7 linked regions of the Callithrix jacchus genome follow. The protein of the gene in region 1 interacts with the protein of each later gene in a pairwise test. Links are inferred from orthologs where the notes say so. Each region holds a gene or a part of one and is shown in the gene's direction. Other genes may lie near its edges.

Region 1 (3,791 bases):
CGAGAAGGTGGGCCCAGGCTGGGAACAGGGCTGCAATTTTTTTCTTTTGCTCCCAAACTGTGGCCTTGGAATGCATCCAGGGATTCTGCATCAGCTTTGGGGGCATGGCCCTCTCAGAACAAGGAAGAGCAAGGAAGCTTTAGCTTTGGCGAGGCTCTCCCTGCCTTCAGACCTGCCACTGTGAGTTGCTCAAGAGCTCTGCTCTGGCTCTGCATAAACCTTGTTGACAGATGCTGACCCAGACCCCCCCCAGGCAGAAACCTTTCCCTTCTCCTTCCTCCTTCCGTAACATCCAGGAGCCAGCATATTAAGTCCTGTCCCGTTCCAGCCTGAAGGAGAGATTTCTCAGTCTACTTCCTCCCTGGCCCACAAGTAAAACTTTAGTTCATTCAGGGAGTGCTTATTACACCCCATATCCAGACATCAGCCTTGTGCCATTCTGTGTGCCCTTGTTCCTTTCTAGAAGTTTAGCATCTTCCCACTGCAAGCATTTCTAGATGGAGGAGAGGGGTTCCTAGTATGGGGACCCACAGAAGGACTGTCCTTCCCTCCTTCATTGTCTACGTGGACAGTGGAAGAAGCCCAGCCTGACCTGCCTTGTTCCTGTTTTCTGGGTCAGCAGGGAAAGCCTTTCATAGAGTAGCCACCATGCCATCCTGAGGAAGGCCCTAGGTCAGAAGCTTCTGTGCTTCTTTGTATGCCGGGTGAGGCACAGTGGCGCTCACACTGCTTTGTAGAAATTGTTGGCATGCAAGAGAGAGTCATGTGGAGACCCCAAAGCCACTAGCTGGGCGTGCTGTGCTTCAGATGCTGGTGGTGGGTGAGCACCCTGGCCCCAGCACCTCCCCGATGCGTTCATCAACAGCTGTACAGTGTCTGGCGGGCCTGCAGGGTTGCTTGGCAATAGTGGAAGCTCTGATTTTTTTAAACTTTTTTTTCTGGCTGGGCACAGTGGCTCACACCTATAATCCTAGCGTTTTCGAAGGCCAAGGCGGGCGGATCACTTGAGGTCAGGAGTTTGAGACCGGCCAGGCCAACATAGTAAAATCCCGTCTCTACTGAAAATACAAAAATTAGCCGGATGTGGTGGCACACACCTATTATTCCAGCTACTTTGGAGGCTGAGGCAAAATCATCACTTGAACCCGGGAGGCAGAGGTTGTGGTGAGCCAAGATCATGCCACTGCACTCCAGCCTGGGTGACAGAGTGACTCTGTCTCAAAAACAAACAAACAAAAAAAACCAAAAAACGGTTTTTTGTGTTTTCTGTTCTACTAACACAAGTAATACAGGTTGAATGTTCCTTATCGTAAATGCCTGGGACCAGAAGTGTTTGGATTTCTGATTTTTTCAGATTTTGGAATATTTGCATATATATAATATAATGAGACCTTGGGAATGAGTCCCAACTGTAAATACAAGATCCGATATGTTTATAGATGCCTTATCCACATAGCCTGGGAGTGATTTTATATGCTATCTGGTAATTTGGGCATGAGCCAGGGTTTTGACTGTGAGCTGTCCCATAAGGTCAGGTGTGAAATTTTCCACTTGTGGTATGCACTCAAAAAGTTTCAGGTTTTGGAGCCTTTTGGATTAGAGACTTCGTAAGTTTAATCTGGAAAAACTTAAGAGTCTGGCACAGTGGCTCATGCCTGTTATGCCAGCACTCTGGGAGGCCGAGGCACGCAAATTGCTTGAGACTAGGAGTTTGAGACCAGCCTGGGCAATATGGTGAAACCCTGCCTCTACCAAAAATACAAAAATTAGCCAGGAGTAGTGGCACATACCTGTAGTCCCAGCTAGTTGGGAGGCTGAGGTGGGAGCATCGGCTGAGCCTGTAGGTCCAGGCTGTGAGTCATGGTTGAGCCACTGCCCTCCAGCCTGGGCAATGGGGAGCAAGACTGGGAGCTGCCTTTTTGTGACATGTGATGAATCCTCAGAGAAAAAGAGAGAACACGTGCATGGTGGGGCAGGGCCCAGCGTGCTGGAGTCTCTGGGTTTTCTTTCTAGAGGCCCCTGCAGTCTGCTGAGCGCAGTCGGTTACATCAGGCTTCACCTGGATCCCACTGGAATTTTTCCAGTTATCCCCTAGTCCTCGCCTTGCTAAGCCCTAATGTCTTAATAACCTCAAACCTCAGTACCTGGGCTGAGGAAAGCCTGAGGGGCTCCTGGAGAGAGACCTGTGCCCAAGGACAGGAACATCCCCACTTCAGCCAACCCAAAGGCCAGTCTGGACATGTGAACTCAACCAGCTAAAAGCAATATGACTGATTGATGAGAATCACCAAAGCACTTGCTAGAGTTTCAGCTTCTCCCTGGGCCAAAGTGAAATTTGATGTAGGCAGTAAATGTGCTCTGTGCCGGCCCTGTATTTAGAAGGCTGTGCTGTGTCATCCTGCTCTGTAAATGGCCAGGAGGACCCCCACACCTTCTCAAGGCACATTACCTGTCTAAAAAGGCGAGGGGGCAAGAGCACAAAATGCCCAGCTACTCACTGAAGTGCATGTGTATAACTTAGTGCCTTCTGTCCTTACACAATAGGACCTTTCTTGCTATCGCTCAGTGAAGAGGAAACAGGTTCAGAGAAGTTAACTCACTGCCAAGGTCACACAGATAATGGTGTCCGCTCGGAATAGCGGTGTCCGAGCCCCAGGCAGCAGATGTCTGGCCCCAGCCTTTGGCCGCTGCAGTGTTAAACAGCACAGCAGGTGTGGAAGTCTGATGCTGAGTCCTGGGTACCTGGACTCGGAGCAGAAGCTGGCTGCAGAGGGAAGAGGCTGGGCAGTTGTGGATGTGCCTGTCATCTGCTGGGAGGGCACCCATGGACAGTCCCCAGCCTGAGGAACCTCATGGAAGAGTTAGAGTTGCTCCAGGCTGAATGGCGGGAGTTGTCTGATCTGGCAGCGTCTCTGCTGGGACTTCAGGGAGCTGCTGCTAGGGTGGAAACTCTCACGCTTTCTCCACCTTCCCTTTCCAGTTCCCTGACATCGTGGAGTTCTGTGAGGCCATGGCCAACGCCGGGAAGACAGTAATTGTGGCTGCACTGGACGGGACCTTCCAGAGGAAGGTAAGGTGTCTGATCCAGGTCTGGAGCGTGATTCCAGGAGGGGAGGGGGCTTCTGGGTGGCCAGGGCCCAGCCACTGTAGGGGCACAGTTGAGCTGCTCAGACCAGTCCTTGCCTGAGCCTAGGGACTCCCTGGTCTATGCAGACCAGGTGCCATCTGTTGCGGCAGGTGGTTTGAATTGGCAAGGAGACAAAGCCAGGCATGGTGCTCTGGGGGTTGGGGGAGGACTGAGGTCAGAGCAAACTTTCCTGGCTTCAGTGCTTATGAATCAAAGGGTTTAAAAGAAAACCCCGCCTGGGAAGGTAGCCGAGCACCCACTGTCTTTCCATGGGAGTGCAGGCATTTGGGACCATCCTGAACCTGGTGCCGCTGGCCGAGAGCGTGGTGAAGCTGACCGCAGTATGCATGGAGTGCTTCCGGGAAGCCGCCTACACCAAGAGGCTTGGCACCGAAAAGGAGGTACCTCCACCTGTCTTCCCTGCGGGCTGGTGGGGTGGGGGCGTGGCTCTGTCTCCTTCCTGTCCCGGCCCTTCACCCATCCCCTGTCCCTGCGGCTAGGTCGAAGTGATTGGAGGAGCAGACAAGTATCACTCTGTGTGTCGCCTCTGCTACTTCAAGAAGGCCTCAGGCCAGCCTGCCGGGCTGGACAACAAAGAGAACTGCCCCGTGCCAGGAAAGCCAGGGGAGGCTGCGGCTGCCAGGAAGCTCTTTGCCCCGCAGCA
Region 2 (3,791 bases), on another chromosome or scaffold:
CACACTTGTTCTTTCAAAGATCTTATTCTCTTCTCTTACTTCTTGGCCAGATAAAGGAGATAAGCAAGGAAATCAGCAAAGTCTTTTACAACTACTTTCTGTGATCTAGGTCTCATCTCTCCTCCCTACCTTTTGTCCTCTCTACATGTATCAGTGTTATCCATCAGGTATTTCTTCCAATGTTTTTAATACTGGTGCCAGTTGATATATCTGGTTTTTTTTTTTTCATTTGTAGATTATATTTAAAGTTTTAACCATAATATCTTAAGGACTTTGCACACATAAAATGATAGTTCTGTGACTTAATTTTTGTTTCTCAGTTTATCATCTTACATATTTAGGTATCAAATATGTTATTATGAGGTTTTTAGTAGAATATTCCCAGTATGTGATAATCCTAAGAGATGATCTCCAAAGACGAAAGTAGAAGGAATGTGATTTGTCAGTTTGTAGGGTTTTTTTTAATTTATTTTTTTTATGCCACTATGCTTTTACTGTTTCTCTCCAACTAAGACTTTTGTATCACAGCCCATAAGTGAGGGTTTCTGATGTAAATGTTTTTTTGTCCATTTAAACAGGGACAAATTATGTTCTCTTATTCTTGTTTACTACAGGATACCCAAACCAAAAGTATTATTTCAGAGACCAGTAATAAAATTGATGCTGAAATTGCTTCCTTAAAAACACTGATGGAGTCTAACAAACTTGAGACCATTCGTTATCTTGCAGGTAAGACTGTTAGAGAAAGAAACTGCTGTCATCTAGTTATCCTGTTAGTACCTACCTACCAAGGTAACTATGCAGGCACGGGGGAAAAAAAGGAGCTATAACAAGGCTCCTTTATTGCTTGGTCCCTGTAATGCTTAAAGAAGGTTCTAGTCTCAGGATATATTTTGGGGAGTCTTGTATTTTTTTTAATTACTTGCAATTTTTATTACAGCAGATTACAAATTAGATCCAGCCAAAGGAAAAAACATATAGGGTATAGTATTGGACAGTTCTCAATGTGAAGCTTCTGTCATCCTCACAGATGTGTTAACCTTCAGAATACAAGTGTAGCAGGCAACTCTGCAGCTTACTAATAGAAAAAGCATGTGGATATAAAAGAAGCATATATACAATGGGAATAATTGGATTTAAAAGTTTTTTTAAAAAGAAAGAAATATATAAACACAAGCACAAAATAATAGAAGGATAAACTGGATATTCCACAGCGAAATAATGAAAATTTTCTTTTTATTGCTCATGTTCTTCCACAAAGATTTGAATGAGGTTAGAGAAAAAGATCAATAAAGTAGATATAAGCTCATTAAAAACCTGAAGGGGGGAGAGACGACCTCCTACCTTGAATCAACTGATGCAGCTTAGATACTACCCCAAAATTAGATTATTTGTCACATACTGAGCTTCTCAAGTACCATCTGACCTGACCCAATTATAGGGCCCCAGTAGTTAGAAACAATGCCCTAGTCAACTATTACTTGTCTTTTTTCTTTCTTTTTATAAAAAGTATTTTCATTATAAATTATTCATAGAATTTAAAAGCAGTAAAAGTGAAAGCCCCTCCCCATGTGTATTTACTATTAGTAGTAAACATTTCTAGGCTTCTTCTGTATATAAACATTTTATATACTTCTTAAAAATAATTAGATCACATATTTTTATATTCTACAACTTTTAAAAATTGAACCAAATGTCTTATTTCTTTCCACATCAATACACACAGACATCATTTTATTAGAAAGCACAGTATTCTCTATATGAAAATGCCAAAATTTATGTATCCAGTCCTCTATTAATAGGCATTCTCACTCCAGTTTTTCATTATTAAGGACAATACTGTATTGAACAGCCATATATATGTGTATGCTTGAGTAAAAACACACACATCTTTGTGCAGTCATTTCTATATAACAACTTGCTATGTACATTTAAAATTTGGGGTCAAAAAGATATGCACATTTAAAATTTTTGACATTAACAAATTGCTGTCTAAAAGAAAACTGCAGATTTATACTTTTAGTCATTTTCTGGGCAGTCACCACTGATGTTGAGGTGCCAGCAGGGTTGAAGATGGAGCCCGCAGACATCAGCTGAACCATGGAAGGGGCACGGGGCACAAGTAAAATAGCCTACCTACAAGGGTACTTGGAATCAGAACTTACTCTTTAAATCTGTGAATGTGTACCTCATTTGCTCATACCAGCTTTCTCCATGGGTTGGAAACATTACCACCTAGACTCTTTTATCATTCCACTTTCACTAATCAGGAGAGATTGCCTTCTTTCTTTAGTTCCAATTTTTAAAATCCTCAGAAAGGAGTCTGAATGGTTCATCTTGGGTCATATACCACCTTTTGTCCCAGAACACTGCTGCCAAGGAATAATGGCAATTTCCATTCAATCTATGTGGTTAATCTCTGTAGAAAATGTGGCATATTTTGTTCTGGGCAGATAAATAATGAAAACTAATGTTTACAGAGTGCTTAAAATGTATCAGGCACATGCTCACCTAAGCATTTTACATATATGTAGAACGTCTCTCTAGACAGGGTATAGAGGATAAACAGCAAATTTAAAAGAATTTGGGAATGGCTCCATAGTTACCACAGCAACAGCCATGAGAAATAAAAGCTGAAATAACAGCAGCAAGACATGAGAGAGAAATTTAAATGCAGTCGATTGTATAGTCTACCAAAGGATCAAAATGCCTGCTACCTCACAATAAATGTTCATTTTGGTTATCTAAAACTTAATTTATCAGCTGTTAAATCAGCAGAGGATGTAACCACTTAGCACTATGTGGCTCAAATAAATGACAGATTGAGTCTTGCCAGTGTCACAATATATAATAAGGGTAACAAATCTTTTGTGTGTTTTTTTATTAAAAGAAAAAAACAGCTTTAGAGTCAAGTACACTTAGTCTTAAATCCTGTCTTCACTGCTTGCTAGTGATATAACTGGGCTTATTACCTTATCTGTACAATGGGGATAATACCACCAATCTCGTGGTTAAATAGATAGTGTATGTAATTGCTCAGCACACTAGCACACTACCTGACATGTGGCAAATAGTCGCAGGATCAACCAGTGGCAGTAAAACAAGAAACTCTTAGTGTTATTACTTCTCAAATGCCCTTCTCTATATGTCTTAGAGATGCCTAATGCCGTTTCTTAAAATTGAGAAAATAATCTTATCATTAACCAAGTTTCACTAAGTAGTAGGATCAAAGGGAATGGTATACAAATGGGTTTATATATTATGAATAACTTTACTTTGAAAGGCTTTCTTGTGTCTTTATTCATAAAAGTTTTCCCTTCATCTCTAAATTGTCTGTTTTTAAAATTCATTAATTGGTGTTTTAAACAAACAGGAGACTAAGGAGTCCCCAAAGGCCTCACTCAGTCTTACCTTCTAAAAGCTGGGAAAACAGAAGCTTTTTTTATCCAAAATGATGTAACATAAAGTACAGCTAGTATATTAACTATTTTAAAAACCTGATGCTTTTTCTGCTTTTCTTCTACTTGAGTTTAAAGAGTTTTTACTAAGAGAAATTATTTTAAAATGTACTGAAAAGGCAATTAAAATTCTCTTCTCATAGACATATGGATGTTTATTCTACTAGCTTAACTACATAATTTTTTAATATAAGAAAGATTTGAATGAGATCATTAGCTCATTATGAGATCTGTAATTAGAGCTTATAATTATATAGTCAATAATGCTAATGTTAATGATTTTAAATATAATTTATAAGTTCTAAATGACATATAATTTGCATTTTAATATAC
Region 3 (3,063 bases), on another chromosome or scaffold:
ATACTGGATGGGTGGTATGAATACCATCCACAAACAGAGCATCTTGATTCCCAGTCCACAGGATATATACATACACATTGCAAAAGCTGGACTTTGGCTTTAGCTCCAGGTATTGTATACTAGTTAAGCTCTCATTTGTAAGTAAATCTGGATTTAAAAAAACCATGCTATCTTGTATTTCCATTCAGGACAGCCAAGAGAAAAATGGATGAACAGAGTTTTTTCGGTGGATTGCTTCATGTGTGCTATGCTCCAGAATTTGAAACAGTTGAAGAAACTAGAAAAAAACTAGCAGTGCGAAAGGCATATGTAGTAAGAACTACTAAAAATAGAGGTATGGAAAGCATATTGCTAAATGCCTTCTGTGTGTCAGGCACTCTGCCAAGTGTGTCATCATGCAGTTCCCAGTCTAGTGGGAAGAGAGGCAAGTAAATCATCACAGTATTCAGTAAGTGTAAACCACAGAGTTCTCTGCAGCGTACTACATAATCTGGGTTGAGAAGGGAGAAATATTGGTTCATAGAAGACTTCATCCAGTCTGTTAGAAGTGGCTGAATTTTGAAGGATAAGTAGACATTACTTAGAAGGGAGAGGAAAAGATGGAAAGGCAAGCCAGGCAGGATGTTTAAATGCTTAGAGGAATAAATGAGCATCATGTATTTAAGAAACTTTAACTCATACAATATAATCAAAGCCCAGAGGTTTCAGTGACAGATAAGTTTAGAATAGTGGATAGGAAGTAAATCACGAAGGGCCTTGTGTCCCTGCTAAGGAATTAAGGCTTTGACCAGAATGCAGTGGGCAGTTGTGATTTGCAGACTAATTGTCACTGCTAATCGTGGAGAAGTTCTACTTTTGACCAAGCAACCGCATAAATGCCCCACATGCCCCTTCTACCAGATAGTGGTAGAGAGAAATAAAGTGAGAAAACTCTTGGAAAACTTACTCAGAAATCTGGCAAGAGAGCTGTTGAGAATCCCCAGTCATTTGTAGACATTAATTTGTAAGATATGTAAATAGCACCAGGAAAATTTGTATATTTGTGTGGCAAAGGAAATTATAAAATATACAAAAAAAAAAAAAAAATAGAAAACGGAAAGGAAATTATAAAATATTAGTGTGGAGGAAGACCTTTGACATTATCTGACCTGTGTCCTACTTCTTGGTGAGGAAGCTGAGTCTCAGAGTTTGTGACTGGCCTATATTACTAGAGATAAATTAAGGACAAAAATAAGGATTAAAACCCAAGCTTTGGACTCCCTGTCCAGAGCTTACTTTTAAACTGCTTTAATCATCTCAATGTTAGTGGTGGCCTAGCATTATCTTCATTATTTGCTCCCCTTACCCTTAAGACCTTTTTGCCCTGCCCCCTCGGAATTAGATTCATTGTTGTTAAACTATGACTTTTTTGGCCTTGAACACTTTAGTTAAGCTCTATTTTATCTGCAGCATTCTAGCATCTACACATAATTGTATATTTGGTCTTTTCAAAAACTTCTATTAATGAAATTTCAAAACACACAGGTAGAAAAACTAAGATAACATACCTCCCGTGTATTAACATTAACTATCATCAACAGATAGCCAATTTCATCTTTACCACATCTTCCGCACCCCACTGATGTTTTAGTCTGCTTTTGGGAGAGTAAACCAGGGAAGAGGTCCTTTCCAGCCCTAGAAGTAAGCCACACATATTGCTTTCTTTAATAACTAACAAACACAGGCTAGGCAGCATGACTGGAATACTCTGAAATTGCAAAAAAAAAGGATTGTATATAATGATATGGAAAAACTATATAAGATCTACAGTGAAGTGGAAAATACAGAGGTGCAGAAGAAGTACATATTACAGGTTACCTTTTTTAGTGGGGAGAAAAAGAATGGGAGGTAGGAGGAAGCAAAGTAAGGCATATTGAACAGATAAATAAAGAACAATAGCGCTTACTTATGGGATGAAACCAGGCCCATGGAGAGCAAGGAAAGGGTGACACTTGATGCTACATATCTTTTTATCCATTTTAGGTTTTAAACCACATGAATATATTCCCTTCTCAAGAAATAGATTTTTTGGTGTAGAATTTGTTACCATTTTTAAGTGATTTTTAAAATTATATGATTCTGAATGATGCAAACAATAAACTACCTCTGTTTTCCTTTCTCTCACCTTTTAAATTGTAATAAAAAGACCATTATGTGACAAAGAAGAAATTGGTTACAGAGCATAAAGACACAGAGGATTTTAGACAAGACTTCCACTCAGAGATGTCTGGATTTTGTACAACTGCTCTGAACACTTCTGCAGGGAACTCATATCCTTATCTTCCATATTCCTGTGAATTGCCTTTATGTTATTTCTCCTCAAAATGTATGTGTTCATCTGGGAAGCATGTAGATAGAGCATCAAACTCCTCTGAGTATGGTAGAAACCATGATAAAACAATGGAGCATTATAACCACAGTGACTCTTTGCAGAAAACACAGATAAACCCTTTCAAAAACTCAGTAGACTGCCAGGGTGCACGAAAGGCTATTATTCCTTCAGAGGCAGTTGACAGATTTATGCCTAGGACAACACAACTGCAGGAGCGCAAAAGAAGACGAGAAGATGATCGTAAACTTGGAACTTTTCTTGAAACAAACCCAAGTAGTAATGAGGTTATGATTGGACCTCTGTTACCAGACATATCTAAAGTGGATATGCATGATGACTCATTGAATACAACGGCAAATTTAATTCGGAATAAACTTAAAGAGGTAAGGTTATTTTTTAAAAAAAAAACTGTTCTAAGAGACGATTTGGTTACAGGACTAACTAAATGGAGAATTATTTGTGGGAACAATAGTAATTTTTTTTTCACCTTTTAGTTTTTTGACGTGTTTTTCTACGGTTCTCTGTTGAAATAATTGAATTTGGCTCACATTTTTATTTGCTTTGATACTGTTAAGACTTGCTTAAACAATGAACATTTTATGTCACTGTAGATACAAAATATTAAAGCAGTGGTTTCAGCCATTTAAATCAATCTCTGAGAGTGGAGCCCAGACCTGCCATTTTTGTTAAAA
Region 4 (4,454 bases), on another chromosome or scaffold:
TAGCTTTGTGGCTGGTCAGGTCTTTCAGCCTCGCTTTCTGAGCTATGAAATTGGGGTATTAATAATGGTTACTCCCAACCAGTGGTAGTCAACAAAAATATGCATAAGTGAGCAGCAAATGGAAACCATGTATGTAATTTTGCGTTTTCTAATTTCAAAACAAGTAATTTAACACAACGTATCCAAAACACTATTATTTTGATTGGCCATCAATATTTAAGAATCAGTAATGAAGGCCAGGTGCAATGGCTCACGCCTGTAATCCCAGCACTTTGGGAGGCGAAGCCAGGTGGATCATGAGGTCAGGAGTTTGAGACCAGTGTGACCAACATAGTGAAAGTCTCTACTAAAAATACAAAAATTAGCCAGGTGTGGTGGCATGCGCCTGTAGGTCCTAGGTACTTGGGAGGCTGAAGGGGGAGAATCTCTTGAACCCGGGAGGCGGAGGTTAAAGTGAGCCGACCAAGCCATTATACTCCAGGCTGGGTGACAGAGTGAGACTCCGTCTCCAAAAACAAATAAATAAAGAAATATTTCACATTATTTTAACTTACTGAGCCCATAACATCCAGTGTGTACTTCACACTGAACAGCATATTTCGTTCAGACAACCTACGTTGCAATGCTCAGCAGCCACGGGTGCCTAAGGTCTACCAAACTGGATAGCCCAGCTCTGAAAGCTTCTGTGAGGATCAGGTGACCTAAGGGGTGTAAGGGGGCAGGGCCATAGGCTAACACATCAACGTGGCAGATATATTCCTCCTGTCTCTCCTCTCTGACGCACACACAGAATTTTCCACATTTAAAAGGCCTTTACAAGGGCGCAGGAGCCCAGGACATGTGACAAATCCAGTCCTTTTCTGGCCCCCGCCCCGCCCCCCACAAAGCCATCTTTCTTCCCTGTAGGGGCGAAAGGCCACCCACCCCGCCATCCTGGCATTCCTTTCAAGCAGCTGCCAGTCGGCTCCCCCGAGCTCTCCACTCCGCTCCACGCTGTCCCCGCCACCCAGCACCGGCGTCCCAGCTGGGATGGAGCGGGAGCAGAGTCCAAGCTCCTGCCTAGGATGCGGGAAACCTTTCCACCCGCTGGAGACTCCTCTGTAAATGGGTCTTCAATTCCCAGCTCCCCACTTCAAATGGTACTCAACGCCTCTTCCCGGCCCTGGGGGCTAGGACCCTGTTCCGAGGCAGCCTCTCCAGTCTCTAGCCCCTCTTCTAGGGTCCAGAGTAGGCGGGGTGGGGTGGGGATTGCGGCGTGAGCTAACCCAGAGCCAGGGGGAGGCCGGCGCCCGCAGATCGAGCAGGGGGCTGCGGCTGGGCCTGAGGTCCGGGCATCACACTGGCCGCCAGACAGCAAGGCCGGGCGCCCACTCGGGACCCAGCGGCAGGCGCAACCGGTCGAGCGCCCCCGCATCTCGCACCGCGCCCTGGCTCCCCCTCGCGGTGCCGCAGTCCCAGCCGCGCCTCTCGCGCGGGCGCAGCTCCGCCCATCATGACGTCGCAGGGTAGGGCAGGTCCCCGGTTATAAAAGGTGGAGCTGGGGGGCGGCGGCAGGTCTCTGCGCAGCCGAGCCCGCCGGTCCACGCCGCGCACCGCTCCGAGGGCCAGCGCCACCCGCTCCGCAGCCGGCACCATGCGCGAGATCGTGCACATCCAGGCGGGCCAGTGCGGCAACCAGATCGGCGCCAAGGTGGGCGCGCCGCCGCGGAGGGGCCCGGGCTGGTGACGGAGGGTGCGGGCTGGGGCCGGGGTCGGGGCAGGGGCGGGTGTGGGAAGCCTCGGTGGCTCGGGGCTGGCCGTGTGGTACACTCCGCGGAGAGGCGGGCGGGCAAGGCGGGGGAGGCTGCACAACCCGCCAGGATGCCCGCGGCCCCCGTAGCCGTGTGAGTCTTTAGTCGGCGCCGTTTCGATTTCCCTGGGACACAGCCCTTCTGCGGGACGCAGTTGGCATTCCGCTGGGTGTATTAGTCTCAGAAACTTGGGGCGAGGATATGGTCATATTTATTCCGCTAGCTTCATGAGATATTTAATTTGTACATTTTTCTCAACGGTTTGAATGAAAACATGCAGTGTCACTGGACTGACAGGTGTAACAGAGGCTTCCCTTTGGGTCACACAGGCGAGGGTGTTAGATAAATTCCCTTGTTCCCTATTTCCGGCACTGTCTAGACATGAAGTCTTATAACGCCATAGTCTTGCTGCCAGTCCCTGAGGTGGCAGGTGACTGTGCTGGGTGGGGGCTGCAATTACCGACCGCTGTGTGGGAGGCAGCAGCCGGCTTGCTGCATGGGTGGGGGTGGTGCCTGTACAAGGACGTGGTCTCTTTGAGAACCGCCATGTTGCCCACCCAGCCTCCCCGCCCCCTCCCTGTCTTAAATTCACAATGGAGCCAGCGCCCTCACCATGGCCAGCTCCTTCCACTGCCACCCAGGCGTCCTCCCAGGTTCCTGCTGCCCTTCCCTGCCCAGTCTCTCTTGTGGTCAGTGCCAGCATGTAGATCGGTGGCTTAAACCTGCACTGTTGCAGGGGTGCCTGGGATCTATGCCAAGAGAGCTTGATTCCTGGAGGCTGCCACAGTGTGGGCTCCCCTGTCCTCAGTCCTGCCACGACCCATCAATCATCCCCGATGCAATGGCATTCAGCCCTGCCTGGGGTGACAGAGCCTCCCTGTACCACTTTCCCACCTCTCTACCCTCCTGACCCTCTCTCTAGAAGGGCATTTGCTGTGCCCCCTCCTCCTCCAGGGCCCCTCCCAGCCTTTCAGTCTATCGCCATAATATGGCCGATGCTCTGCGGATTTTCAAGCCCCTCAGCAGTGGCTGCTGCAGGAAATAGGGGGTGCAGCTCTTTGCTCTCTGTCTAGCACTTACCGTCTGACCACAAAAGCCCCTGTTCCAAGGACATGGGAGGAGGACAAGGCCATCCTTAGTGACATTCAGGACGCTGGGCCATGGTCTGGATCTTTTTTCATTTCAGTTTTGGGAGGTCATCAGCGATGAGCATGGGATCGACCCCACAGGCAGTTACCATGGAGACAGTGACTTGCAGCTGGAGAGAATCAACGTGTACTACAATGAGGCTGCTGGTGAGTAGCGGGATGTGTTAGCAAGAACATTCCTTCTTCCTAACAGGAATCCTTGCTTCCCATGCTGTGGGAGATGAACCGTCCTAGGAACATGCACGTGACAAAGGCATGCTTCTTGCATATTCATTTCAAATGCCAACTGCTGGAAAAACACACGTAATGGTTCCCTAAGAATCCTGCCTGTTCGCCACGGCTAAGCACACTCAAGACCTCCTTTTTCTTAAAAGCAGAGAACCTCCTGTTCTCCTTTTGTCTCAGATGCTGGAGCTGTCTTTAATGAATGTTGCTGTGAGTCCCCCCCAAGTACAGGTCTGAGTCAGTTCTCGTTCCCTGCAGGTAACAAATATGTACCTCGGGCCATCCTGGTGGATCTGGAGCCTGGCACCATGGACTCCGTCAGGTCTGGACCCTTTGGCCAGATCTTCAGGCCAGACAACTTCGTGTTCGGTATGTAGTCACCATCAGTGGGAACTGGCCAAATGCCACACCTTCTTCCTCACAGCCCTGCAAAGCACAGTTCTTAGTGTTCACTGCCAAGGTGACACTGTGTCCACGGGCAGCCCTGAGTCCTGGCCTAGTTCCACCCAGTCCACGGGTGGTCATGGCTCAGAGATCCACACCAGCCTGCAGAGGGCTGCTGCAGCCCTCCCATTACAGAGCAGCCTCAGACTGGAAGAAAGAGCAAGGAAAAGCTTCAGGCCAGGTTTCATAGGCTACAGGCAACTTGAAAGGACTTCAAAGAGCCAGGGGCCAAAAGTACAGGTTATGACTAGAGCTTAGACTGATGCTAAAGCCACCTTCTCTCCTGGTCACCTTGAATATAAAGAGAATGCCTGTTTAAAATGTATGTTTCAGAACTGTGGCCAGGCAAGGTGGCTCACACTTGTAATCCCAGCACTTTGGTGGGAGGCCGAGGCAGGCATATCAGGTCAGGAGTTCAAGACCAGCCTGGCCAACATGGTGAAACCCTGTCTTTACTGGAGATACAAAAAAATTAGCCAGGCGTGGTAGTGTGCACCTGTAATCTCAGCTACTCAAGAGAATGAGGCAGGAGAACTCCTTGAACCTGGGAGGTGGAGGTTGCAGTCAGCTGATGTGCCATTGCACTCCAGCCTGGGAAACAGGGTGAGGCTCCATCTCAAAAAAAAAAAAAAAGTAGGTATTTCAGAACCAACTAAGTTTTCTAACCCTATCCTCTTCCTCAGTCAATAGCCTCAGATGAGCTAAACTTGCTTTTTACTTTATTATGAGCCCATGTTTTTGAGGCTCACTGACAAAAATATTTCTTTAGGTAATAGAAGAGTATTCAAAAGAGAAGAATCTGCCAGTGTAAGATCAGTCCTACACTCTCCTCCATAGTCAAAATGAC
Region 5 (4,449 bases), on another chromosome or scaffold:
AGATTGCACCCTAAATTATTCCTTCATTCACTCAAAAAGTATTTAGGCACCAATGAGTCAGGCACTGTGTTGGTCACAGGGGATACCATGACGTACAAAAGGGAAGGAACCACAGGCCCTTGAATGGAAGAGTGAGGAATGTGAAAAACAGACATAGAGAGTGGGTGTGGTGGCTCACGCCTATAATCTCAGTGTTTTAGGAGGCCGAGGATGGAGGATTGCTTGTGCCCGGGAACTGGGGGCCAGCCTGCACAACCTAGCGAGACCCCCGTCTCTGACCAAAATTAAAAAATAGGCCGGGCACGGTGGCTCATGCCTATAATCCCAGCACTTTGGGAGGCCGAGGCAGGTGGATCACGAGGTCAAGAGATCGAGACCATGCTGGTCAACAAGGTGAAACATCTCTACTAAAAACACGGCCGGGCGCAGTGGCTCAAGCTTGTAATCCCAGCACTTTGGGAGGCCGAGGTGGGTGGATCAGGAGGTCAAGAGATCGAGACCATCCTGGTCAACATGGTGAAACCCCGTCTCTACTAAAAATACTTTAAAAATTAGCTGGGCATGGTGGCGCGTGCCTGTAATCCCAGGTACTCAGGAGTACCTCAGGAGGCTGAGGCAGGAGAATTGCCTGAACCCAGGAGGCGGAGGTTGTGGTGGGCCGAGACTGTGCCATTGCACTTCAGTCTGGGTAACAGTGAAACTCCGTCTCAAAATAAATAAATAAATAATAATAAAATCAGCTGGGTGTGGTGGGGCGCACCTGTAGTCCGAACTACTTGGGAGGCTGAGGTGGGAGGATCACTTGAGCCCAGGAGTCTGAGGCTGCAATGAGCTGAGATGAGACCATTGCACTCCGGCCTGGAAGATGGAGTGAGATCCTGTCTCAAACAAACAACAAAACCAGACATGAGGGCCAGTGCCGCTGAAGCGTGAATATCAAGGGCTAGAAAAGTAGAGGTCAGGCCAGGGCAGTTCAGGCAGGGCCTTGCAGAGTGTGGTCGGTTGTTTGGATTTTACTGTGAGGGCAGTAACACGACATTTCATTCATTCTGCAACAGCCTTAAGAACTAAGCGTTTTTGGCTAAGCCCGGTGGCTCACGCCTGTAATCTCAGCACTTTGGGAGGCCGAGGCGGGGATCACGAGGTCACGAGAGAGAGGCCATCCTGGCTAACACGGTGAAACCCAGTCTCTACTAAAAATACCAAAGATTAGCCAGACGTGGTGGTGTGCGCCTGTAGTCCCAGCTACTAGCGAGGCTAAGACAGGAGAACTGCTTGAACCCGGCAGGCGGAGGTTGCAGTGAGCTGAGATCGCGCCACTGCATTCCAGCCTGGGCAACAGAGTGAGACTCCGTCTCAAAAAAAAAAAAAAAAAAAGAACTAGGCATTCTTATCTCAATTTTACAGATGAGGACTATCAAGCCGTTAAGTAATTTGTCAAACGTTACCCGCAGGCGTCAGGAGGGGACAAGGTCTGCGAAAACCCGCGAGGGCGTCGGGATCCCTTAGCCAGAAAACCGTCAACCAAGCCAGTGAACTACCTACTCCTGGGACTCCTGGCCCGCCGCGCGCCGCGGGGACACTGAACATGCGCCTCTCACCTTACGGAAGCCGGGAAGGAAGGGGGCGGGGCCGAGGCCGGCGGGCGCGAGGAAAATGGCGGCGGCAGCTGCAGCTGCGAACGGGACCGGAGGGAGCAGCGGGATGGAGGTGGATGCAGCAGGTAACGGGCTGTGTGGGGGTGGCTTCCAGAGACCTCCTTCAGGGGTGCGTTGAGGCCTCCCTGTGCTCCCAGAAGAAGGGAGGAGGGCGGAACAGCAACATCTTTCCCTGGGATAAGTTGCGGGAGGGAAGTGTGGCCGGGCTCCGTCGTCCCCCACTGCCGTCTCCAGGGAAGGACGTGGGGCCCGGACTCTCACCCTCTCTACTTTCCCTCCACCCTTAGTAGTCCCCAGCGTGATGGCCTCCGGAGTGACTGGGAGTGTATCCGTCGCTCTCCATCCCCTTGTCATTCTCAACATCTCAGACCACTGGATCCGCATGCGCTCCCAGGAGGGGCGGCCTGTGCAGGGTGAGTGTTGGGCATAGCCTCCAGTCTCCTCTCCTTGCTTACCTCCCCCAGTCGTCTTTCCCTTTTTTTACTGGAGCCAGTTCCCCCTCCCTCAAGTCATCGTTTCCCCAGTACTTGGCTCCCACTGACCTCAGACCCTTAGGTGATAGAAGTTTCCTTACCCTCACCTTTTCCATGTCATTCTCTTTCCTAGTGATTGGGGCTCTGATTGGGAAGCAGGAGGGCCGAAATATCGAGGTGATGAACTCCTTTGAGCTGCTGTCCCACACGGTGGAAGAGAAGATTATCATTGACAAGGAATATTATTACACCAAGGAAGAGCAGTGTGAGCGGAATAGACGTGGGGAAGAGGAGTGGGAGTTAAAAAAAAAAGTACAGGGTGGGGAAGATGGAGAAGGTTGGAAATAAACAGGAGAGGAGGCCAAGAACAGAGAAGAAAAGGTTAAGAGAATTGCTGGAGAGATCTCAGAAAAAGAACACATTAAGAGTTCTTTCCCAAAAAGAAAGTAAAGGATAAAAGACAGGATAGAAGGGAGTAATTACTCTAAACTGAGCCAGGATTTGAGGAGCGGGGAGAGAAGCTGGTGAAAATACACCAGGAGCTTCACACAGAGGAAAGATGGCTTAAAGTATTACTATGTCAGGCTGGGCATGGACGGTGGCTCACGCCTGTAATCCTAGCACTTTGGGAGACCGAGACAGGCAGATTATGAGGTCAGAAGTTTAAGACTAGCCTGGCCAACATAGTGAAACCCCATCTCTACTAAAAATACAAAAATTAGCCGCATGTGGTGATGTGCATCTGTAGTCCCAGCTACTCAGGAGGCCGAGGCAGGAGAATCGCTTGAACCTGGGAAGCGGAGGTCGTGGTGAGCCAAGATTGCGCCACTGCACTCCAGCCTGGGCAACAGAACAACTCTGTCTCAAAATAATAATAATAATTACTATGTGTTTTGGTCCCTTCCCCTTCAGTTAAACAGGTGTTCAAGGAGCTGGAATTTCTGGGTTGGTATACCACAGGGGGGCCACCTGACCCCTCGGACATCCACGTCCACAAGCAGGTATACATCTCACACCTGTGCATGCTGAAGCAGAGAATGGGGGATGAGGGGAAGGAGAAAGGGGGGCACTGACTTCCTGTGCATCGTCCCTCTCATTCAGGTGTGTGAGATCATTGAGAGCCCCCTCTTTCTGAAGTTGAACCCTATGACCAAGCACACAGATGTAAGTAATATCCCATGCCTACTGTGTCATAATTGTTGCTGTACCTTTTGTTGTGTGACGGTGTATTGGGGAATGCCAAATGCCACTTATCTGCTGTGACTCTGGCTTAGTCATTTAATCTCCAAACTGTGTGAAATGAGGTAATCCCTACTTCATTGGTTTCTAGGGAAAATTAGCTGAGAGGAAATGTGTGAAATCGACTAGCCCCAATGTTGGCAGATAGTATTCAGGTTTCTCCATCTCCTCCACAGCTTCCTGTCAGCGTTTTTGAGTCTGTCATTGATATAATCAACGGAGAGGTAAAACCCTACCCTTCAACCCTCACATCCTGCTCTTGTCCTCTTTCCTGCTTTTGATTCTCCCTTTGTGGGTTACCTTGCCCTGTAGGCCACAATGCTGTTTGCTGAGCTGACCTACACTCTGGCCACAGAGGAAGCGGAACGCATTGGTGTAGACCACGTGGCCCGAATGACAGCAACAGGCAGTGGAGAGAACTCCACCGGTAACGGAGGGGATTCCTTGGAAGTGGGGGTGGAATGTGTGGCCACATCCTGTCCCAACCTCCTCCTGTCTCCATCCCCTTGCAGTGGCTGAACACCTGATAGCACAGCACAGTGCCATCAAGATGCTGCACAGCCGCGTCAAGCTCATCTTGGAGTACGTCAAGGCCTCTGAAGCAGGTAGGTCAAGGGCTTCCCTGACACTTCCCTGGGGTTCTTCCTCTCCCTTCTGGGGAAGTGACAGCATCCAAATTAATGCAGCCTCTTTTTGTGCCTTTAGGAGAGGTCCCCTTTAATCATGAGATCCTGCGGGAGGCCTATGCTCTGTGTCATTGCCTCCCAGTGCTCAGCACAGACAAGTTCAAGACAGACTTTTATGATGTGAGTGTAAAACCCAGATGGGGAGGTGGGGCTTATGCTGTCACTTTCACATGCAGGACTGGGGACTGTTGTTCCCTGGGCATGCCACAAGAGATCCCCTGAAGAACTGGTCCTTTATGTTCCCTCCCAGCAATGCAATGATGTGGGGCTCATGGCCTACCTCGGCACCATCACTAAAACGTGCAACACCATGAACCAGTTTGTGAACAAGTTCAACGTCCTCTACGACCGACAAGGCATTGGCAGGCGAATGCGCGGGCTCTTTTTCTGATG
Region 6 (3,377 bases), on another chromosome or scaffold:
CATCAGGAGTAAAGATGAGTAACCCACAGGCACCCATCAGAACCCTCACTCCAGAACCAAAGGTGTCAGCACACAGGGATGACAGGATATGGCTACTTCTCACTTCTGATTGCAGATTTCAGCTCAATGAGGACCTTGTTCTCAGAGAGTGATTCAGGTCAACACAGGGATCCTTATCTGGTCAACAGACACAGTGGTCCCAGGTTCTGCCAAGAGTCCTGGTGAGGAATGTGAGGGAGGATTGAGGGTACCCCAGGGCCAGAAGGCAGATGGTGACCCCACAGAAACCAGCCCTGCTCCTGTTGTCACCCCAGAGAGCATGGACTTGGCTGTCTGCAGAGGTCCCTCTCTCATCCTGGGATCATTGATGTCATGGAGGGGGAGGCCTTGCTCTGAGGGGGCTGGACCCAGGTCAGTAGAGGGACAGTTCCAGGCCCTGCCAGGGGTCAAGGTGAGGACCAAGCAGTCTCCTCGCCCAGGACGCATTAATTTCAATGAATTTTAATACCTCTTGCTGTTCTTCCTGGATGGACCTAGGCACGTGTGGCCAGATGTGGGTCCCCTGCTGTCCTTCTGTTCCCTATCAGGGATATGAGTTCTTGATCTGCATTTCCCTGAGCAGCAAAAAGGGTGGGATTCAGGCCCTGCCAGAAAATGTGAGGCCCCTGCGTGAGGACAGAGGGGACCATCCACTCCATGAAAGTAGGGATGTTACAGAGTCCAGTGGTGGATAGCAGTGAGGGGCTAGGGCTGTGCTTGCAGTCTGCACCCTGAGGGTGTGTGGATTCCTCACCCAGGAGCTCCAGGAACCAGGCAGTGGGGCTTTGGTCTGAGGCAGTGGCCTCAGGTTACAGAGCAGAGGATGCACAGGCCGTGCCAGCAGTGACTGTTTCCCCTGAATGCACACCAAGGGTCCCACCTGCCGCAGGACACATGGGACTTGAGAGAGTGTGGCCTCACCCTCCCTACTGTCAGTCCTGCAGAATTGACCTCTGCTGGCTGGCTGTATACCCTGAGGCGCCCTCTCATTTCCCCCTTCAGGTTCCCCCTTCTCCAACTGGGAGGGCCAGGTTCCTTGGAGGCACAGGGGAGCACCAAGGAGATCGGTAAGTAAGCCTTTGTTAGCGTCTCCAACGTTCGGTTCTCAGCTGAGGCCTCTCACACGGTTCCTCTCTCCCCAGGTTTGTGGGTCTTCATTGCCCAGCTCCTGCCCACACTCCCACCTACTGTTCTGACCCTGACCAGAGTCATTATGTCTCTTGAGAAGAGTCAACACCGCAAGCCTGAGGAAGGTCTTGAGGCCCAAGAAGAAGCCCTGGGCCTGGTCGGTGCACAGGCTCCCACTACTGAGGAGCAGGAGGCTACCGCCTCCTCCTCTTCTACTCTGATCCCAGGCACGCTGGAGGAGGTGCTTGCTGCTGAGTCAACAGGTCCTCCCCAGAGTGCTCAGGGAGCCTCTGCCTTCCCGACTACTGTCAACTTCACTCACTGGAGGCAACCCAGTGAGGGTTCCAGCAGCACCTGCCGAGAGGAGGAGGGGCCAAGCACCTCTCCTGACCCAGAGTGTGCGTTCCGAGAGGCACTCAGTAAGAAGGTGGATGAGTTGGCTCATTTTCTGCTCCTCAAGTATCGAGCCAAGGAGCCGGTTACAAAGGCAGAAATGCTGGAGAAGGCCGTAAGAAATTACAGGCGCTACTTTCCTGTCATCTTCGGCAAAGCCTCCGAGTCCCTGAAGATGATCTTTGGCATTGATGTGAACGATCCGGACTCCACCGACCAGTCCTATACCCTTGTCACCTGCCTGGGCCTCTCCTACGATGGCCTGGGGGGTGGTAATCACATCTTGCCCAAGACAGGCCTCCTGATACTCGTCCTGGGCACGATCGCAATGGAGGGCGACTGCGCCCCTGAGGAGGAAATCTGGGAGGAGCTGAGTGTGATGGAGGTGTATGATGGGAAGGAGCACAGTGTCTTTGGGGAGCCCAGGAAGCTGCTCACCCAAGACTGGGTGCAAGAAAAGTACTTGGAGTACCGGCAGGTGCCCGGCAGTGATCCTGCACGCTATGAGTTCCTATGGGGCCCAAGGGCCCTTGCTGAAACCAGCTACGTGAAGGTCCTGGAGCATGTTGTCAAGGTCAATGCGAGAGATCGTATTCCCTACCCATCCCTGCATGATGCAGCTTTGACAGAGGAGGAAGAGGGAATCTGACGACGAGTGAGTTGCAGCCAGGGCCAGGGGAAGGGGACTGGGCCAGTTCAACCTCCAGGGCCCTGTCCAGCAGCTTCCCCTGCCTCGTGTGCCTTGAGGCCCATTCTTCTCTCTGAGTAGTCAGCGCTCTTAGTAGTGGGTTTCTGTTTCATTGAGTGACTTGGAGATGTATCTCTGTTTCTTTTAGAATTGTTTAAATGTTCCTTTAATAGATGGTTGAACTTCAGCATACAAGTTTATCTATAGTAGTCAACTATATTAGTGTTTATGTAGTTAAGGAGTAAAAGTCTTGTTTTCTATTCAGATTGGGAAATCCATTCTATTTTGTGAATTGAGACATAGTAACAGCAGTGGAGTAAGCGTTAAAAATGGTGACTGAATTCACAGTAAAATACGTGAGATAAATTAAAAGATACTTAATTCTTGCCTTATACCTCAGTGTATTCTGTAAAATTCAAAAAACATATATGCATACCTGGATTGCCTTTAGCGTCTTTGTGAATGTAACAGAATTTAAATCTGAATAAACAATTCTCCCTGTTCACTGGCTCATTTCTTCTCTACGCACTGAGTATCTGCTCTGTGGAAGGCCCTGGGTTGGTAGTGGGGATGCTAAGGTAAGCCAGTCTCACCCTACCCATAGAAGGTGGTAGAGTCTAGGAGCTGAAGTCACATAATCAAGGTGGCGATAAGTCCTCTAAGATGTAGAGGAAAAATAAGAGGGGTGTGAGTGTGGGGCTCCAGGTGAGAGTGGTGGAGTATAAATTCCCTGTGTGGGGCCTTTTGGGCTTTGGGAAACTACATTTTCTTTTGAGGGATTTGATTCTAATGAAGCTTGGTGGGGCCAGGGCCAGATTCTCAGAGGGTGAGAGAAAAGCCTGGTTTAGAAAACTGCTCTGAGCAGTTCCTTTTCGACGGTGGATGAACAGAGAGGAGCCTCTACATGGGGCAGGAATGGAAGGTGTCTTACACTTTTGTCCCAGTGTTGCTGAACACAGTGCATGAGCTAGGTGATGTACACCCATTATTTGCAAGGGTTTTCCATGAGATAAGGGTGTGTTTCCCCTGAAGGGAGACCCAGAAACCACTGGCCAGGTGCTTTTCCACCTGGCTGGGAGAACCAGAAATATTAAAAATGCATTCTAATTAGGTTATCTCAAGTGCAATT
Region 7 (4,387 bases), on another chromosome or scaffold:
GAGGCTGAGGCAGGAGAAAAGCTTGAACCCTGGAGTCAGAGGTTGCAGTGAGCCAAGGTCACGCTATTGCACTTCACCCTGGGCAAGAAGAGTGAAACTCCCTCTCAAAAAAAAAAAGTGTACCTGAAATATAGTAATTACAATATAGTTACTAGACTTTATTGTTATGGCAGCAGAGGACCTAGAACCAGCACTCCCCATAGCCCATGTTCCCCACAAATGGTTAGCTGCAGCTACTTTCTTGTAGATTATGGAACAAAAGGCGAGCCCTGCTCCTTCACTAAAACCCTAGACCAGGTAAAAACTTCCAAGACTCATGCTGAAGAGGGGAGCTTCATGAACTTGAATATTAGGGGTCACACAGGATTCTGTTCACAAAAAGGTAAAATCACAACAATGCAGACCATAGGAAGTTTACTGTGTCTTTAAGAGACTACAATGCAGACTCCTCTTCCAGAGAAAGGTCTTTTAAGAGTCAGGGAACTGTCATTCGGATGCGTGGCTCATTTGTCATTTTCATAGTCAGCTGGATTCTTCCTCTTGGATCGCTCAAACTCTTCAGTCCCCCATGTGTAGAGAAGATAAAACGCTATAAACGCTTTAAAAACCAAGAGAGCACACATATAAGACACAAAGAAGAAAAAAAAGGTCTTAGTCCTCTTAAGGTATACACTTCAGTAGTTCTTAGCATATCCAAGGCCGTGCAACTATCATCACTATCTGCGGCATGTTTTACAAAGCATTTCACCACTGTTAAGAACTGGATAAAGATGACCTCCGAGGAACATGCTGGAATCACTCGAGTGACGGAGTGACCCTGAGCCAGTCATTTCAGTTCTGTAACTGTTTTCCCCGTGTTAAGATGGGGAGGATAGTATGACCAGCTTAAGGGCGGTCACGAATATTCAACGAGAAAGGTGTGTACTGCAAGTTACAGAGCGCCTGCCCGACCGCCCCCGCTCATAGGGGAGCCGCAGTGACTGCTGCTACTGCTGCTGCTGGAATCCAGCCTCCCGCCCCCGCGGGCCCTGGGCACTCACGCGGCACCACGCGAAGGAAAGACTCCCGAGTGCGGCGCACCACGTTGGGGACTCCTTTAGAGAAGACGTGCGGGAAGGCGCGCTGCTCGAAAGGTGACAAGCTGTAGGAGATCACATGCCGCATCCGCGTCAGATTCCCAAATTCGCGACCCATGGTGGCGGCGGCCCTGCAGGACCGAGGGCGGACGGGCGCTTGGCTCGCTTTCGCGAAGCGCCGCAGTCCCCGCGGGGATCTGTCCCCAACCCCAGACGCCTGCCCCTGCAATCCTTATCCTTCCCCAGCCCAGAGAGTCCCCCACGGTACACTAACAGCACAACCAAACGCCACTCACTCACTGGAGTCACCGACCCCTCCGTAGTCACCGATCCGGTGGACTCGTTCGTCATTTCCGGTAAGATCGGAAGCCGCTCTTGGAGGACGTGAGGTCACTTCTGGGAGATACCATTTTCCTGCTGTCTCTAGGGGGTGACGCCTCTGTCCCAGAAAGAAGTGTCCTGACTGGGTGACCCGTAGGTGGGTGGTACCTTGGAGGCCCTCCCTGGGCCTGTGGCTTGGAGCCTAGCGGAGGACGTCGGGGATTGAGCGGGCTTTGGGAAGCAGTGGACAGGCGGAGGCGCTCATACTTCTCCTCAGCCGTCGGCCTTTCTGTGGAGTCCAATCAGGAAGCGGTCGAATGCGGGAGGCGGGTGAGGGGACAAAGAAGTGACAAGGAAGGGGCCTGTCGACTTCGGGGGCCGCGCTGGCCAGGAGCTTGGGGCCTCCGAGTACTCCCGGCTGTGGACAGAGTGCCTCTGCGTCTTGAGGCCAGGCCACCCCGCAGCAGACCACTTTGGTCTTGGCCAGTAGCTCAAAGGGGGCTCCGTTATTTTCAGGCCACCAGCAACCCCAGCACCAAAATCAGGGACATACATCTAAGGCTTTTCTTGGTAACTTCTGTTTTAGAGTCCACCGGCAGGCTGTAAACAGTCCCAAGAGATAATAAAAACGTTTCTTGAAATTCAGCCACAAAAATCATCAAATAATCATCAAGCAATTGATGAACACTGAGGCTGCGTCGACAGCAGCCAGCCTCCTCCCAAGATGGTTTGCGTGGGGTGGGGGGTATCACCATGCCCCAGTTCTTTCCTATCCCCACATGAGAAGCAAGGAATGTCGAGTGAGAGGCCTTCTTGTGTTTTCCCTGAAGTGCATTCTACTTAACGATGCTGTTGTCCTGTGCAGCTCACCACGCGCCGGCTGTCAGTGTTTTGTTAGTGGAACTGCTGGCCATATATAATCTAGGACCAAACAATCAACAGATGAGTGTGTTTTATTTTTATTTATTTATTTATTTATTTATTTATTTATTTATTTTGAGACGGAGTTTCACTCTTGTTACCCAGGCTGGAGTGCAATGGCGCGATCTTGGCTCACCGCAACCTCCGCCTCCTGGATTCAGGCAATTCTCCTGCCTCAGCCTCCTGAGTAGCTGGGATTACAGGCACGCGCCACCATGCCCAGCTAATGTTTTGTATTTTTAGTAGAGACGGGGTTTCACCATGTTGACCAGGTTGGTCTCGATCTCTGGACCTCGCGATCCACCCGCCTCGGCCTCCCAAAGTGCTGGGATTACAGGCTTGAGCCACCGCTCCCGGCCATGAGTGTGTTTTATAACACTGCTTACGGACCACGGAGGCTCAGCAGGCAGTCAACTTGTATTTTGCATACATACCTTAGTTTTCTCAATCTAGCTACTGCACAGACTGGCTTTGTATCTTGTACTATGGGTGTGAGTTGACTTTCTTCCAGCAGTCTCTCCTTCGGGGTGGCGCTGAATATCCCCTCATTTCAGCTTTTTGTGGTGCTCCTTTGCCTCATTTTTCTAAGCCATAATGTCTAGCCTGGTCTCAGCTCCAAGGCAAGAACAGAAATACAGATAAGGACAGAAATGCTATAGCGAATTCTACCACCATTTGGATGAATAATAAAAAAATAAAACATTTATTTTATAGCATCTGCAAACATCCCAAAACCTTTCAACCAAAATACATATAAATGAGTGTGTAGACCAAAGTAAGGACATCAAGATGTTATATTTAAAAATAAATCAAGATTAAAGGCAATGTCCTTCTCTTTTAGGAACATTGCAAATACAATTGCAATACTCCAAGTACATATTCTGTACCCAGCCACCTGGGACTACTGGGAACTTCTATGCCAATTGTGACTTTCTCACCCCTCAAATTAACATGCAGTGAATAATTACATATTGTAAACACCTGGAAGTGGAAGAGGCAGTGGGGATAAATTAAGAGGAAGAGTAAAGCTAATACCATAAGTTCGTTGCATAGCAACAGATCTGAGTATCATCATGAATAATTGGTTAGCTTTTCCACATGCCTCAGAAGTTTCAGCAATCACCTAACAAACATTTTAGGAATCCAGATTTCTCAAAAATTGAGAGATTTAAGATAATTCCTCAATTTATCTTGGACTTTCAGCTTAGTAGCTAGCCCAGTACTATAACAATGACAGGTTTTAAGTAAATGGCAGGGGAAAAGGGAGGAAATCTAAATAACCAATCTCTAGCTGGTGAATAGATTGGCTGAATAAGGTGTTATCAGCTGCTTGATATAGAGCTGATAAAAATCATCTTCAGCTAGGCATACTTGAGGCCTGATTACAGAGGTGATGCTCTTCCACCCACACACCTAAAATTTATTTAAGAAACCAAGCTAGGCTCTTCCTGGCTTTTAGGAAGAGGACTGGCATGGAGAAATATGTTCCTCGCTAGTTCTCCCAAGCCATGGCGCTTCCCAGCAAATTACTCCTTTGGTTTTGCTGCTTTGCCTGGCTATGTTTTCCTATTAGTGTTGGTTCTCAGGCTTCTAGGGGAGACGCTCAGATTGCTGCTAGTGCTGAGTTGGCATCTGAGGCTAAGCCTTGGTCCTTGCTGCAGCCTATAGAGGAGAGAGACAGAGCTGGCCTCCTTCCCCCGCTTTTCAAAGTTCTCTCTGGTGGGCGAGGTGGGGCACCTAGGCTGCAGCCAGACTCCAGAGCTTTGCACTACATGAAGAAGCTCTATAACACATATGCTACGAAGGAAGGGATTCCTAAATCCAATAGAAGTCACCTCTACAACACTATTCGGCTCTTCACCCCCTGTACCCAGCACAAGCAGGCTCCTGGAGACCAGGTAACAGGTGTGTAAAAGCAGATTGGTTAACTGGATGGAGGGAGGATGATAAACACTTCTGCATTTCAGTTACAGAAAGGAGCTGAGTCTAGCTCCTTGAATTGCATTTTATTTTCCATAAAACTCAGTATCCAACTGAAACAAATCTGGGATTTGAGCTTATTGTTTGTT

What was found.
Region 2: the proteins of TK1 (region 1) and CCDC90B interact in a two-hybrid assay, tested with the Homo sapiens proteins (2 studies listed by BioGRID and IntAct). The link is inferred for Callithrix jacchus from reciprocal best matches to the Homo sapiens genes TK1 and CCDC90B.
Region 3: the proteins of TK1 (region 1) and RBM48 interact in a two-hybrid assay, tested with the Homo sapiens proteins (2 studies listed by BioGRID and IntAct). The link is inferred for Callithrix jacchus from reciprocal best matches to the Homo sapiens genes TK1 and RBM48.
Region 4: the proteins of TK1 (region 1) and TUBB2A interact in a two-hybrid assay, tested with the Homo sapiens proteins (2 studies listed by BioGRID and IntAct). The link is inferred for Callithrix jacchus from reciprocal best matches to the Homo sapiens genes TK1 and TUBB2A.
Region 5: the proteins of TK1 (region 1) and COPS6 interact in a two-hybrid assay, tested with the Homo sapiens proteins (2 studies listed by BioGRID and IntAct). The link is inferred for Callithrix jacchus from reciprocal best matches to the Homo sapiens genes TK1 and COPS6.
Region 6: the proteins of TK1 (region 1) and MAGEA4 interact in a two-hybrid assay, tested with the Homo sapiens proteins (2 studies listed by BioGRID and IntAct). The two-hybrid records come from large-scale screens. The link is inferred for Callithrix jacchus from reciprocal best matches to the Homo sapiens genes TK1 and MAGEA4.
Region 7: the proteins of TK1 (region 1) and GDF9 interact in a two-hybrid assay, tested with the Homo sapiens proteins (2 studies listed by BioGRID and IntAct). The link is inferred for Callithrix jacchus from reciprocal best matches to the Homo sapiens genes TK1 and GDF9.

The regions. Positions count from the first base shown.
Region 1 is NC_133506.1:133,959,078-133,962,868, reverse strand, and holds part of TK1 (thymidine kinase, cytosolic), read left to right. Parts: intron 1-2,980; coding exon 2,981-3,070; intron 3,071-3,408; coding exon 3,409-3,528; intron 3,529-3,627; coding exon 3,628-3,791. UniProt on the Homo sapiens protein: Cell-cycle-regulated enzyme of importance in nucleotide metabolism. Catalyzes the first enzymatic step in the salvage pathway converting thymidine into thymidine monophosphate.
Region 2 is NC_133511.1:57,103,247-57,107,037, forward strand, and holds part of CCDC90B (coiled-coil domain-containing protein 90B, mitochondrial), read left to right. Parts: intron 1-614; coding exon 615-729; intron 730-3,791.
Region 3 is NC_133512.1:57,087,068-57,090,130, reverse strand, and holds part of RBM48 (RNA-binding protein 48), read left to right. Parts: intron 1-188; coding exon 189-334; intron 335-2,185; coding exon 2,186-2,754; intron 2,755-3,063. UniProt on the Homo sapiens protein: As a component of the minor spliceosome, involved in the splicing of U12-type introns in pre-mRNAs.
Region 4 is NC_133505.1:27,486,467-27,490,920, forward strand, and holds the start of TUBB2A (tubulin beta-2A chain), read left to right. Parts: upstream 1-1,552; 5' UTR 1,553-1,633; coding exon 1,634-1,690; intron 1,691-2,976; coding exon 2,977-3,085; intron 3,086-3,421; coding exon 3,422-3,532; intron 3,533-4,454. UniProt on the Homo sapiens protein: Tubulin is the major constituent of microtubules, a cylinder consisting of laterally associated linear protofilaments composed of alpha- and beta-tubulin heterodimers.
Region 5 is NC_133503.1:13,493,168-13,497,616, reverse strand, and holds the start of COPS6 (COP9 signalosome complex subunit 6), read left to right. Parts: upstream 1-1,643; 5' UTR 1,644-1,656; coding exon 1,657-1,723; intron 1,724-1,945; coding exon 1,946-2,071; intron 2,072-2,264; coding exon 2,265-2,396; intron 2,397-3,043; coding exon 3,044-3,132; intron 3,133-3,232; coding exon 3,233-3,295; intron 3,296-3,546; coding exon 3,547-3,594; intron 3,595-3,682; coding exon 3,683-3,797; intron 3,798-3,882; coding exon 3,883-3,975; intron 3,976-4,075; coding exon 4,076-4,176; intron 4,177-4,306; coding exon 4,307-4,447; 3' UTR 4,448-4,449. UniProt on the Homo sapiens protein: Component of the COP9 signalosome complex (CSN), a complex involved in various cellular and developmental processes.
Region 6 is NC_133524.1:148,219,004-148,222,380, forward strand, and holds the end of MAGEA4 (melanoma-associated antigen 4), read left to right. Parts: intron 1-1,041; coding exon 1,042-1,106; intron 1,107-1,181; coding exon 1,182-2,209; 3' UTR 2,210-2,767; downstream 2,768-3,377. UniProt on the Homo sapiens protein: Regulates cell proliferation through the inhibition of cell cycle arrest at the G1 phase. Also negatively regulates p53-mediated apoptosis.
Region 7 is NC_133503.1:75,578,832-75,583,218, forward strand, and holds the start of GDF9 (growth/differentiation factor 9), read left to right. Parts: upstream 1-1,568; 5' UTR 1,569-3,826; coding exon 3,827-4,223; intron 4,224-4,387. Other genes in the region: UQCRQ (cytochrome b-c1 complex subunit 8), read right to left, coding at 504-598, 1,041-1,194. UniProt on the Homo sapiens protein: Required for ovarian folliculogenesis. Promotes primordial follicle development. Stimulates granulosa cell proliferation. Promotes cell transition from G0/G1 to S and G2/M phases, through an increase of CCND1 and CCNE1 expression, and RB1 phosphorylation.